3 linked regions of the Macaca fascicularis genome follow. The protein of the gene in region 1 interacts with the protein of each later gene in a biochemical or structural test. Links are inferred from orthologs where the notes say so. Each region holds a gene or a part of one and is shown in the gene's direction. Other genes may lie near its edges.

Region 1 (3,645 bases):
TTTTCCGTGTGTTGAGAAAAATTGCTAACAAGCAGTGGGGCACACCACCAGCCTCCTGGGTTCCTTTCAGTTTGGGGATTTTTGGACATTCCCAGGAATGTCAACTTTCTCTTAAAAAACACTTCAAAAAACATTAACATAAATATTTTTATCAAAGCTTGTATTAAATGGTCTTTCAAGAAAATACAGTAACAGGCCAGGCATGGTGGCTCACGCCTGTAACCCCAGCACTTTGGGAGGCCAAGGCAGGCAGATCACCTGAAATCAGGAGTTCGACACCAGCCCGGCCAATGCAGCAGAACCCCGTCTCTACAAAAAATACAAAAATTAGCTGGGTGTGGTGGCACACACCTGTAGTCCCAGCTGCTCGGGAGGCCGAGGCAGAATTGCTTGATCCCGGGAGGTGGAGGTTGCAGTGAGCTGAGATTGCGCCACTGCACTCCAGCCTGGGTGACAAGAGTGAAACTTTGTCTAAAAAAAAAAAAAAAAGAAAAAGAAAAAGAAAATACACTAATAGAGAACAATCTGTTTTTCAAAGTAGTGACTGCAAATGAACAAAATATGCATCTAGCTTAAACGGGAGCATGGTTTTCTCTATGCCCATTCAAGCCTGCTGCAATAGGGGCCCTTCAGCCTGGATCCATGGACTCCTAAAATTATATGGAAAATGGCTGTGTGGGTGTGAGCGTGGGTGGACATGTGCACACATATTTTTGGCTTTACCAGATGCTCAAAGAGCCTAGGACCCAACAAGGGCTGAGGATAACCCTGTCGGCCGCTTCAGGGTCATCAGGAATTCCTGTGCGCTGCTCACTTCTCCAGTGAGCGCCTTCTGCTTCCGCGTTTCCTGGTATCCTTCGGGGCTCCTGGCTAGGTCATGTGTTTCTCTACTTTCTTTTTTTTTCTTTTTTTTTTTTTTGAGACGGAGTCTCGCTCTGCCACCCAGGCTGGAGTGCAGTGGCTGGATCTCAGCTCACTGCAAGCTCCGCCTCCCGGGTTTACGCCATTCTCCTGCCTCAGCCTCCCGAGTAGCTGGGACTACAGGCGCCCGCCACCTCGCCCGGCTAGTTTTTTGTATTTTTTTTTAGTAGAGACGGGGTTTCACCGTGTTAGCCAGGATGGTCTTGATCTCCTGACCTCGTGATCCGCCCGTCTCGGCCTCCCAAAGTGCTGGGATTACAGGCTTGAGCCACCGCGCCCGGCCTGTTTCTCTACTTTCAAAAGGGCTTCAGCCAGGCACGGTGGCATGAGCCTGTAGTCCCAGCTGCCCGGGAGGTTCAGGTGGGAAGATTGCTTGAGCCCAGGAATTTGAGGCCAGCCTGGGCAAGTAGATAGATAGGTAGATGATAGATAGATAGGTAGATAGATAGATAGATAGATAGATAGATAGATAGATAGATAGATAGATAGATGGATGTATAATAGATGGATAGATAAGTCGCTAGACAGACTCCATCCTAAATCACCCATCCACCCACCCACACATAAAAAGGCCTTTGTCATGTCATGTTTTGTGGCCCACCTGCCAGTGCTGCCCACAGTTGCTGCCCCTCCAAACTCATCAGTCACTGGCAAACAGGAGGAATGTGTGTGGCTCATGTCTGGGCATCAGTGGCTGTGGGAGACATCCTTGATCTTCTCCAGCTTCTCCTTCCACATTTTCCTTTGCAATCTGGCAATATCTATCAAAATAAAATGCGCATGCCTTTTGACCTAAGAGCTCCACTTCTAGGACACACTTACAGGTGTGTGACATGATGTTCATTCAGGGTTATTTATCTGAGGTTGTTCATACACACCATTGCCTGTAATCACTAAAGGCGGGAGCAGCCTAGGCATCCATTCACAGAGGAGTAGACGCCTTTGGATACATCCGTGGTGACGGAATACTAAGCAGCCTGTGTACATATACACTCACACATGTGTTTGTTTATGTGTGGAATATCTCTGCAGGATACACAAGAAACTTAAAATGATCACTGTCTCTGGGGAGGGTACCTGGGTGCCTGGGAGGCAGGTCAGGGGAGGAGTGGGCACAGGGATTACGAATTGGAAGACAATAAAAACAACAGCTTCTGGCCAGGCACAGTGGCTCACGCCTGTAATGGCAGCACTCTGAGAGGCCGAGGCGGGCAGATTGCTTCCGCCCAAGAGTTCGAGACCAGCCTGGGCAACATAGTGAAACCCCGTTTCTATTAAAAATACAAAAAACTAGCCAGGTGTGGTGGAATGCACCTGTAATCCCAGCTACCCGGGAGGCTGAGGTGGGAGAATCACCTGAGCCTGGGAGGTTGAGGCTGCAGTGAGGTGAGATTGCACCACCTCACTCTAGCCTGGGTGATAGAGCAAGACCCTGTCTCAAAAACAAATAAACAACAGTCCCTGGCACTGTGGGCCAGGCCTGGCAGGGCAGTTGGCAGGGCTGGTCTCTCTTTCTCTGGCACTTCATCTCACCCTCCCTCCCTTCCTCTTCTCCTTGCAGATTGAAACCCACAAGCTGACCTTCCGCGAGAACGCCAAAGCCAAGACAGACCACGGGGCGGAAATCGTGTACAAGTCGCCGGTGGTGTCTGGGGACACGTCTCCACGGCACCTCAGCAATGTCTCCTCCACCGGCAGCATCGACATGGTAGACTCGCCCCAGCTCGCCACGCTAGCCGACGAGGTGTCTGCCTCCCTGGCCAAGCAGGGTTTGTGATCAGGCCCCCGGGGCGGTCAATAATCGTGGAGAGAAGAGAGAGTGAGAGTGTGGAAAAAAAAAGAATAATGACCCGGCCCCGCCCTCTGCCCCCAGCTGCTCCTCGCAGTTCGGTTAATCGGTTCATCACTTAACCGGCTTTTATCGCTCGGCTTTGGCTCGGGACTTCAAAATCAGTGATGGGAATAAGAGCAAATTGCATCTTTCCAAATTGATCGGTGGGCTAATAATAAAATATTTTTTAAAAAACATTCAAAAACATGGCCACACCCAACATTTCCTCGGGCAATTCCTTTTGATTCTTTTTTTTTCCCCCTCCATGTAGAAGAGGGAGAAGGAGAGGCTGTGAAAGCTGCTTCGGGGGGATTTCAAGAGACTGGGGGTGCCCACCGCCTCTGGCCCTGTCGTGGGGGTGTCACAGAGGCAGCGGCAGCAACAAAGGATTTGAAACTTGGTGTGTTCGTGGAGCCACAGGCAGACGATGTCAACCTTGTGTGAGTGTGACGGGTGGGGGTGGGGCGGGAGGCCATGGGGGAGGCCAAGGCAGGGGCTGGGCAGAGGGGAGAGGAAGGACGAGAAGGGGGAGTGGGAGAGGAAGCCACATGCTGGAGAGGAGATGCCCTCCTCCGCGCCACTGGGAGGGCCAAGGCCTCCGCCACCTGCAGTGTCTCAGACTGAGCGGCTGCCTGTCCTTGGTGGCCAGGGTCTGCTGCGAGTTGATGTGCCACCCTCTGCAGGGCAGCCTGTGGGAGAAGGGGCGGCGGGTAAGAAGAGAAGGCAAGCTGGCGGGAGGGTGGCACCCCCTGGATGACCTCCTTGGAAAAGACTGACCTTGATGTCGGAGGGCGCTGGCCTCTTCCTCCCTCCCTGCAGGGTAGGGGGCCTGAGCCGAGGGGCTTCCCTCTGCTCCACAGAAACCCTGTTTTATTGAGTTCTGAAGGTTGGAA
Region 2 (3,645 bases), on another chromosome or scaffold:
TGAGCAAGTGAATTGCTCACACGGTATTAGGCGCATAGTCAGTGCTCCAGAAGTGAGCTGTGTATTATTACTGCTTCCGCTGCCCCTGTTGCTATTCCCACTCCCTTTCTCCTGCCTGCACTGTTATTGTTTGCCTTCATCTTCCTTCCTAGCCCGCCCGCCCCCGGAGAATAGGAGAATAGGAGACTGGCGGGGAGGAAATGCTCAGTCACTCATTCATTTGTTTGGAGAAAGAGGGGAAGGGAAATTCATTCACTGCTGCAAGCACAGCTATGGCTGAGCCTCAGCCCTGCCCTCACAGGGCCCCCTTCCAGTGCGGTGGACAGACCGGTTCCCAGCAGGGCTCATGGCTGGAACAAGGGAGCCCAGGGGCCTTTGGGAGCCCAGAGAGGTTGCCTGACCCAGCCTCTGGGGCTTCCTAGAGGAGGGGACAGTGGGGCTGAGACCTGGAGGAGGAGGTGGAGGTGCGAATGAGGTGCTCCGGGCAGGGGCAGCCTGCACAAAGGCCCGGAGCCAGCACGCTGGGGACATGAGTGGTCTGGCTGGGAGGTATAGAGGGGTGGGAGGAGCCGCATGGGCCAGGACACATGCTGATTTGGACACCAGCCGGGTGTGCGCACATAACCGCTCCCCATTGGGAAGGATGCCAGGGGCTGCCTGGTGCTATCTTCCTCCCCTGCCTTACACCCACCCACAGCCCAGGTGGAGCTGCCTGGCAGGGTGCCCTGGGCCTGCCCAGACAGGGAGGAAGCCGTGGCCTGCTAGGCATGGGCTCTTCTCACCCCGCTTGACACACACACCTGTTCCCAGCGTGGATGAGCCTCACCCCTCACCTCTGTCACACCAGCCTGCAGGGGTCAGTGGGTGTCTCTGGAGGTTTCTGACTCACACTGCCAGGCTTTCCACCAGAGGCCACCCCTGCTCCTTGAGGGCCGGCCCTGGGGCCTCCCAGTCTGTCCTCTGGCACAGGAGCTGTGGGGGTCCGCTCCTGGGGAGGCTAAGGCTGGTGGGCAGGTCAGACAGGGTCTACATGACTAAACTGAGACTCAGAGAGGTGAAGTCACTTGCCCAAAGTCACACGGCAAGTAAGTAGCAGAGCCAGGATCCGAATCCAGCTCCCAAATCCAGTCTGCTTTTCAGGTTAGAAGATCCGAGTTTGCAGGAATTGGAGTAAATAAGATGGGGAGAGGGGAGAGGATAGGGCTCCCTTCACTGGGAACTTGCTCTGTCCCAAAGCCGAGCGCCCCACGCCTATCATCTGATCTGGTCATCAGCGCAGCAGCCCCAGAGCGGGGACCGTGAAGAGCAGTGGGCGCCAACGTGGAGTTTCCTTTCACCTGGCACCACTGTGCAGAGTTCACAAGATTCACCCGTGCAGCTCTCACCGCGGCCTTCTGAGGGAGACACGGTTCTCAGTCCCACCTCAGAGGGAAACTGAGCCACAGAAGCAGACTCACCTGCCTGAGGTCACCCAACTCATGACCTACAGAGCTGGGATTTGAACCCAGTGTCCGGGATCTGTGACCCTCAGTTCCTCTCTTCAGTGGACAAAACAGGGAAATCCTTTGTCCCAGGCCTCCCCAGAGGGTGAGCAAGAGAAGTGACAGCACTCAGTGTTGCTGCCCGCCTGCCCCTGCTGCGTGCCAGGCCTTGTGTGTTACTTATTACTTCCCACAGCCCTGGCAGGGGAGCCCTGTGTCACCTCCCTGTTAGAGATGAGGTAACCTGGGCTTGGGGAGCCCATGTCGTCCAGCAAGTCATTGGCCCTTTGCGGGCCCTTCCTCTCATCCTCCTGCCGCCTTGGTAGTCACGATAGTAGCATCAGGACATGTGCTTGGGACGTCGCTCGCCCCACAGGGATTCTTACAGGGCACCCTGAGCCCATAACCCTCAGACAGGCAGTTGTTTGATTTTAGCGCACTCTTGGCTAAGATTGATGAAGTGCACCCGTGCGGGCAGCTTTGCTGTACCCAGTTTTGGGGTGCAGAAATCAAGGCTCAGAGGTTAAACATGTCCAGGGTTGCACCGTCAGCACCTGGCGCCCAGGCGGTCTGACTTCCGTGTTCATGGAACCCAGGGCTGGGCAGCCTGGGGGCAGCCGCTGTACCCCCACCTCAGCCTCAGCGTGCACACTCCTTCCCTCCCCACCAGGTTGTCAAGGTGAAGCCCCACGACAAGGACGCCAAAATGAAATACCAGGAGTGCAACAAGATCGTGAAGCAGAAGGCCTTTGAGCGGGCCATCGCGGGCGACGAGCACAAGCGCTCCGTGGTGGACTCACTGGACATCGAGAGCATGAGTGAGTCGGGCCCGGGCGCGCCATGCTTCAGCCCAGAACATTCCACGCGGGCCCTCTTCATTCCCTGGGGGTGGGGGTGGGCTCAGGGGTGGCCCCTTGTTCTGTCCCCAGCCTACTGTCTGTCACTCCTCTGCCTGTGTTCCAGGGCACTCCATCCACAGCCCAAAGCAGGGCCTCACGTTTCCCAGTGAGCAAGACTGGGGAGCCGTGGACCCACTGCCAGTTCACGGGCCCTCCCTCTGGGTAGTAGCACAGGCCCCACAGGCTGTGTCTGATTCACCTCTAGGTGCTGAGAGGATCCAAGTGATTGTTCTGGATCATCCCACAGATGATTATTGAGCATCTCCTATGTGCCGGGCACTGTCCTAGGCACTGGGGGTACAGCTATGAACAAAGCCCTCCCTGTCCTCATGGAGCTGATATTCTAGGAGGGAGATAAGATGATGAACAAGTCACGAAATGAATAGTGCTAAGTGCCATAAAACTGAATAGGGTAAAAGGATGTGGGTGAAGGTAGAGAGGGAGGTCAGGAAGAGGCCTCTGGGCCAGACCTGACCCAGGAGGGGACTCTTCACTTGCTCCGTCCCTCTCTCAACCTGTGTGTCCAGAGCCAGGTTTGCCCCATCCCTAGGAGCGAGACCTCTTCCCCACTCACAGTGGCTGTGGTCACTGACTCTCGTGTCCCCCCTCGTTCACACCCCAGCCATTGAGGATGAGTACAGCGGACCCAAGCTTGAGGATGGCAAAGTGACAATCACTTTCATGAAGGAGCTCATGCAGTGGTACAAGGACCAGAAAAAACTGCACCGGAAATGCGCCTACCAGGTAATGCACCTGTCAGGTACCAGGCACCCGGGAACCCTGGGGTGGCATCACAGTGCTGCCAGCCATGGGCACTGAGCAAAACGACAGGAGGAGGGCGGCAACGACAGGAGGAGGGCGGCCACGACAGCCAACACTGAGCAGGAGTCGTGTGCCAGACACCGTGCCAAGGGCTTCCCACAGAGTCTCATCTCATCCATCCCACAGCAGCTTGGGGCGGTGGCGGGCAGTGCCGTTTGACAGATGCAGGGACAAAGGGCCAGAGAGGTCAGGGTGAAAGGTGAAGAAGCAGCGGAGTCTGTTGCTTGGAGTTCTCATCCCAGGCTCTTGGGCAGCTGTGGCTGCTGGTTGTTGCAGGCTGTTTGGGACCTGATGGTGGCTCCTAGTCCTGAGACCATCCCCTCCTCCGAACCAGGAGGGCAACTGGCCACAGGGTGTTAACTGGTTGAGTGAGACTTGGGCTCTGGTATCCTATCTGGACAAGGCCCCCTGCCCTGACCTATCAGGGACTTTACCATAATTTG
Region 3 (3,745 bases), on another chromosome or scaffold:
TGATGTCACAAGGCATTTTTGTCCCCCATTATATAGTACTTTTACCGTGCAGCTACAATAGACGTAAGTAACCTCAAGATCACAGATAATGGCAAATGTAGTAAGATAATTAGGACGTGATGAGTATGTATTACCTGGACTTTTAATATAATTTAATTGTATGTTTGCATAATTTAATTTTTAATAATGGCTGTGTTTAACAACCAGTTCCAAAATTCCTGAGACATAACAATCAGCTTGCTCCAGCCAGATCCAGCACACTGCTGTTTTAGAAGGGAAAACTGAGGGTCAGGAAAGTGGCCCTCAGATAGACGAAGGCAGGGCACAGACCCCTTCCCAAAACCGTGTGACTCCCAGGCCAAGACTATGTAATGCCCGTTTTTCTTGTGGATGGTCCCCACAGCGCTGTGTGGCCTCCGAGAGGCCTTTGTCCTCTCTGGTCTCAGTCTGCCCGCATGGGGAGTGGCCGTGCCCTGCAGGCGAATACCTGCACAGGGTTCCTTCGCACCTGCCAGTGAGCAACACACGGATTCTTCCTCTCACTTTACAAACTGGGAAAGTGAAGCCCAGAAAGGGCAAGTACTTGCCCTGGGTCATACAGGTGGACAGAGATGGTCCCCAGCTGGGGTGCAGAGGAGAGGATACTGCAGCCCCAACCGGGGGGTCTGGAGCTTTGTGGGTTGGTGGAGGCGGCCTGACTAGGGAGGTCGCTGAGCCCTCAGCATTGGCCAAGCCCTGCACACCATCCCCTTGACCCACCCCACCCTTAAGCCTCCGAGGGAAGAGCTTCCCCTGCCCCCCCGCCAACTGGGGAGAGAATGGACCGGGGGGGGGGGGGGGGGAGGGACAATGTGGGCAGCGCCTCTGAGGGCTTCTCTGGCTCAGTCCCTTTATCTCCATCTCTTCACAGATCTCTGCGTCTTTGTATCTCTTTGTCTCTCCCTGTGTGTGTGTGGGGGGGGGTCTCTCTTAGTCTTTGTCCCTCTGCGTCTCTGGGTCTCTCTGTCTCCGTGTCCCTGTATCTCTCCCTCTCTGTCCTCTGGCTCTCCGTTCATCTCCTTGCGCCTCTCTCTCCACCCTTTTGTAACTCGTCTCTCTCTCTTTGTGTCTCTTTATCTCTACGCCTCTCGATCTCTCTCTCTGCGTCTCTGGCGCTCTGCCCCGGTCTCTCTCTCCCCTTCTCTCCTCTCCAGTGCGCCTCTTCTTCTGGGCGAGAACACGCTCCCCGCCGGCGCGCCCAGACCCGCCTCCGCCCCCGGCGCCCCGGACCAGCCCGGGCCTGCGCCTTTAAGGGCCGGCGGCGGGGGGCGGGGTCCCGGTGCCCCGCCCTGCCCGCCCCTCCCCCTGACGTCCCTTCCTCCCTCCCCAGCCCCTCCACCGCCTCCCTCCGCCGCCGCCTGGGCCGGCTCCGCGCCCCCTCCGCGGCCCCCGCCCGCCCGCCTGCCCGCCCGCCGCCCCCATGGCGCCCGGGGTCCCCGCTGCACGGGGCCACTAGGACCCTCGGGGTCCCTTCCCCTCCCCCGCCCTGTCCTCTCTCCCGCGGCGCGGACCCGGGCGTTCTCGGCGCCCAGCTTTTGAGCTCGCGTCCCCAGGCCGGCAGGGGGGGGAGGGGAAGAGAGGGGACCCTGGGACCCCCGCCCCCCCCACCCGGCCGCCCCTGCCCCCCGGGACCCGGAGAAGATGTCTTCGCGGACGGTGCTGGCCCCGGGCAACGATCGGAACTCGGACACGGTGAGTGGGGCCCGGCCCCTTGGGGAGCCCTGACTGGGTCCAGCCGCCAAACCCTTCGCCCCGCTGTGCCCCTCGCCCCGCGAGCCCCTACCCTCGTTTCCTGGGCTCGACCCTACTCGTCGCCTCTCGACCCCTCCCGGACTTCCAGGCCTCTCGGCCCTCCCCACCTTTTCCAGCCCAGCCCGACCCCTGGGGGCGCCCCTCTCTCGGGACCCCTCTCTTGTCCCCGTGCAGAACGCTTCCGCTCGGGTCTGTTCCCTCCAGGAAGCCCCCTCCCCTGCTTCCAGGAGCCCCTCCCTTCCCTCGCGCGTGCTAAGCCCTTTCCCCTCCAGGCTGTCCGCGTCCGACACCTCGCCCCCTCCCGGATTTGCAGGGCCCCTGACCCCCCAAGGCCCGGCCCTGGCTCTCCCAGCGGGGCCTGGCCCTGTCCTGCCTCTGGCTCCGGCCTTCCCTATCTGGGGCTTGGTGCCGGCTCTCCAGGAGCCCCTCTCCTCTCATTCCCAGTCCTCTGCCCCTCCAGGACGCACCCGGGGCGCCTGTGGGCAGCCCCTGGCAGGAAGCTGGTTTCCACCTCTCCTGGGCCCCGGCCCTTTTCTGCCGCCTTCAAGGTCTCTCCTGTCCCAGGCCTGGTCCCCATCTTCCAAGCAGCCCTGTCCCTAGATCCCAGCACTCCGGGGCCCCCAGAAGCCACCTGGACCCTTTCTGGTCTCTTCCTCTCCCAGGAAGCCTTGGCCTCCAACTTCCAGGCCCCCACCTCACCCAGGCTCGTATTTCTAGGCCCTGGACCAGTCTGACTCCAGGCCTCATCCGCCCTCTATCAACTTCTCAGCTTCAGGCAAGCCCCTTCCCCAACCCCCAACCTCTCCACCCATGCTAGGCCAAACTTAGGCCCCTTCCCCACAAACCACCGTCCTTTCTCCTGCCCCAGGGCCTCCCCCTTCCTTGCTGGGGGTCTGGCCTCCCAAGGAAGCCCCCTCCTCAGCTTCAGAGGCCTTCCTCAGCTACAGGGCCTGGCCCCAGATCCTTCTTCCAGAAAACTCCCAGACCTGAAGCCTCTCATCTTGCCCTGGCTTCAAGCCCCTCATCTTGCCCTGGCTTCAAGCCCTTTTCCCTTGGGGTCAATCTGTTGGAAGCCTTCTCCCCAAATTTCTAGACCCTTTGACCTCCCCCAGGGCTCAGCCTTTATTCGTCTGTGCTGCTCCTTGCCCAAGAAACCCCTACCCCATACTTCCAGGTCCCCCAGACCCTTCTCTAGTTTCAAGGACTGCTCCTAGAAACCCCCTTCTCTGATTCCTAGGAGCTTCCCAAGATCCAGGGATTCCTGGCCTCTGACTTCCACTGCCCCAATAGCTTTGTCACTTTCCACCATTCCCAGGCGCCCCCTGCCTCTACACTGTTTCCCAGAGAGTCCCAGGGAGGCCCCTCCCTATCTCCTGTGTCTCTGATCACTCTGATCACTTCCAAAGACCTGCCCACCACCCAATCCTAGACGTCTCCCCAGCTGGGATCTTTGTGTCTTTCTCCAAATCTTTCTGCCAGGTCCCTGTTCCCCTTCCCCCTGTTTCCCTCACCTCTGACAGACCGCCCCCCCCACGCGCACACACCATCAGAGATTTGTATCTGTCCCTTCCTCATCTTGCAGATCCCTCCCTCACAGAGACCACCCCCATCATCACTACGGGCCAGAACTCCAATTTGGAGTCTAATGAAATGCCTACTACCTCTGTTCCTTGGTCACTGCAATCTACAGTGAGGTGCCAGGGGCTCCACAGTCCTGGGTTCCAATGCTGGCATGGCTAGCTGGTTTGCCTTGTGTCCTCAGAAAACCAGTTCTCCCTTTCTGAGCCTCAGTTTCCTGCCCTGGAAAATAGGGGTGACCGCTTGAGTGCCTCCTTGGCTTACTCGATTCAGGCAAAGCCTGGCACCTAGGAAGCACTCCACAAATGCCAGCTGCTATTGTGGCTGTGGGTATGAGTCAGACGGCCCGTGGATTCTCAGCTCAGGGCTGTTATTA

The links.
Region 2: of the proteins of MAPT (region 1) and PPP5C, one has a biochemical effect on the other in vitro, tested with the Homo sapiens proteins (3 studies listed by BioGRID). The link is inferred for Macaca fascicularis from reciprocal best matches to the Homo sapiens genes MAPT and PPP5C.
Region 3: of the proteins of MAPT (region 1) and MARK4, one has a biochemical effect on the other in vitro, tested with the Homo sapiens proteins (2 studies listed by BioGRID). The link is inferred for Macaca fascicularis from reciprocal best matches to the Homo sapiens genes MAPT and MARK4.

What each region holds. Positions count from the first base shown.
Region 1 is NC_088390.1:67,600,455-67,604,099, forward strand, and holds part of MAPT (microtubule-associated protein tau), read left to right. Parts: intron 1-2,482; coding exon 2,483-2,698; 3' UTR 2,699-3,645. UniProt on the Homo sapiens protein: Promotes microtubule assembly and stability, and might be involved in the establishment and maintenance of neuronal polarity.
Region 2 is NC_088393.1:54,404,283-54,407,927, forward strand, and holds part of PPP5C (serine/threonine-protein phosphatase 5), read left to right. Parts: intron 1-2,151; coding exon 2,152-2,299; intron 2,300-3,002; coding exon 3,003-3,124; intron 3,125-3,645. UniProt on the Homo sapiens protein: Serine/threonine-protein phosphatase that dephosphorylates a myriad of proteins involved in different signaling pathways including the kinases CSNK1E, ASK1/MAP3K5, PRKDC and RAF1, the nuclear receptors NR3C1, PPARG, ESR1 and ESR2, SMAD proteins and TAU/MAPT.
Region 3 is NC_088393.1:53,300,543-53,304,287, forward strand, and holds the start of MARK4 (MAP/microtubule affinity-regulating kinase 4), read left to right. Parts: upstream 1-1,381; 5' UTR 1,382-1,680; coding exon 1,681-1,731; intron 1,732-3,745. UniProt on the Homo sapiens protein: Serine/threonine-protein kinase. Phosphorylates the microtubule-associated protein MAPT/TAU. Also phosphorylates the microtubule-associated proteins MAP2 and MAP4.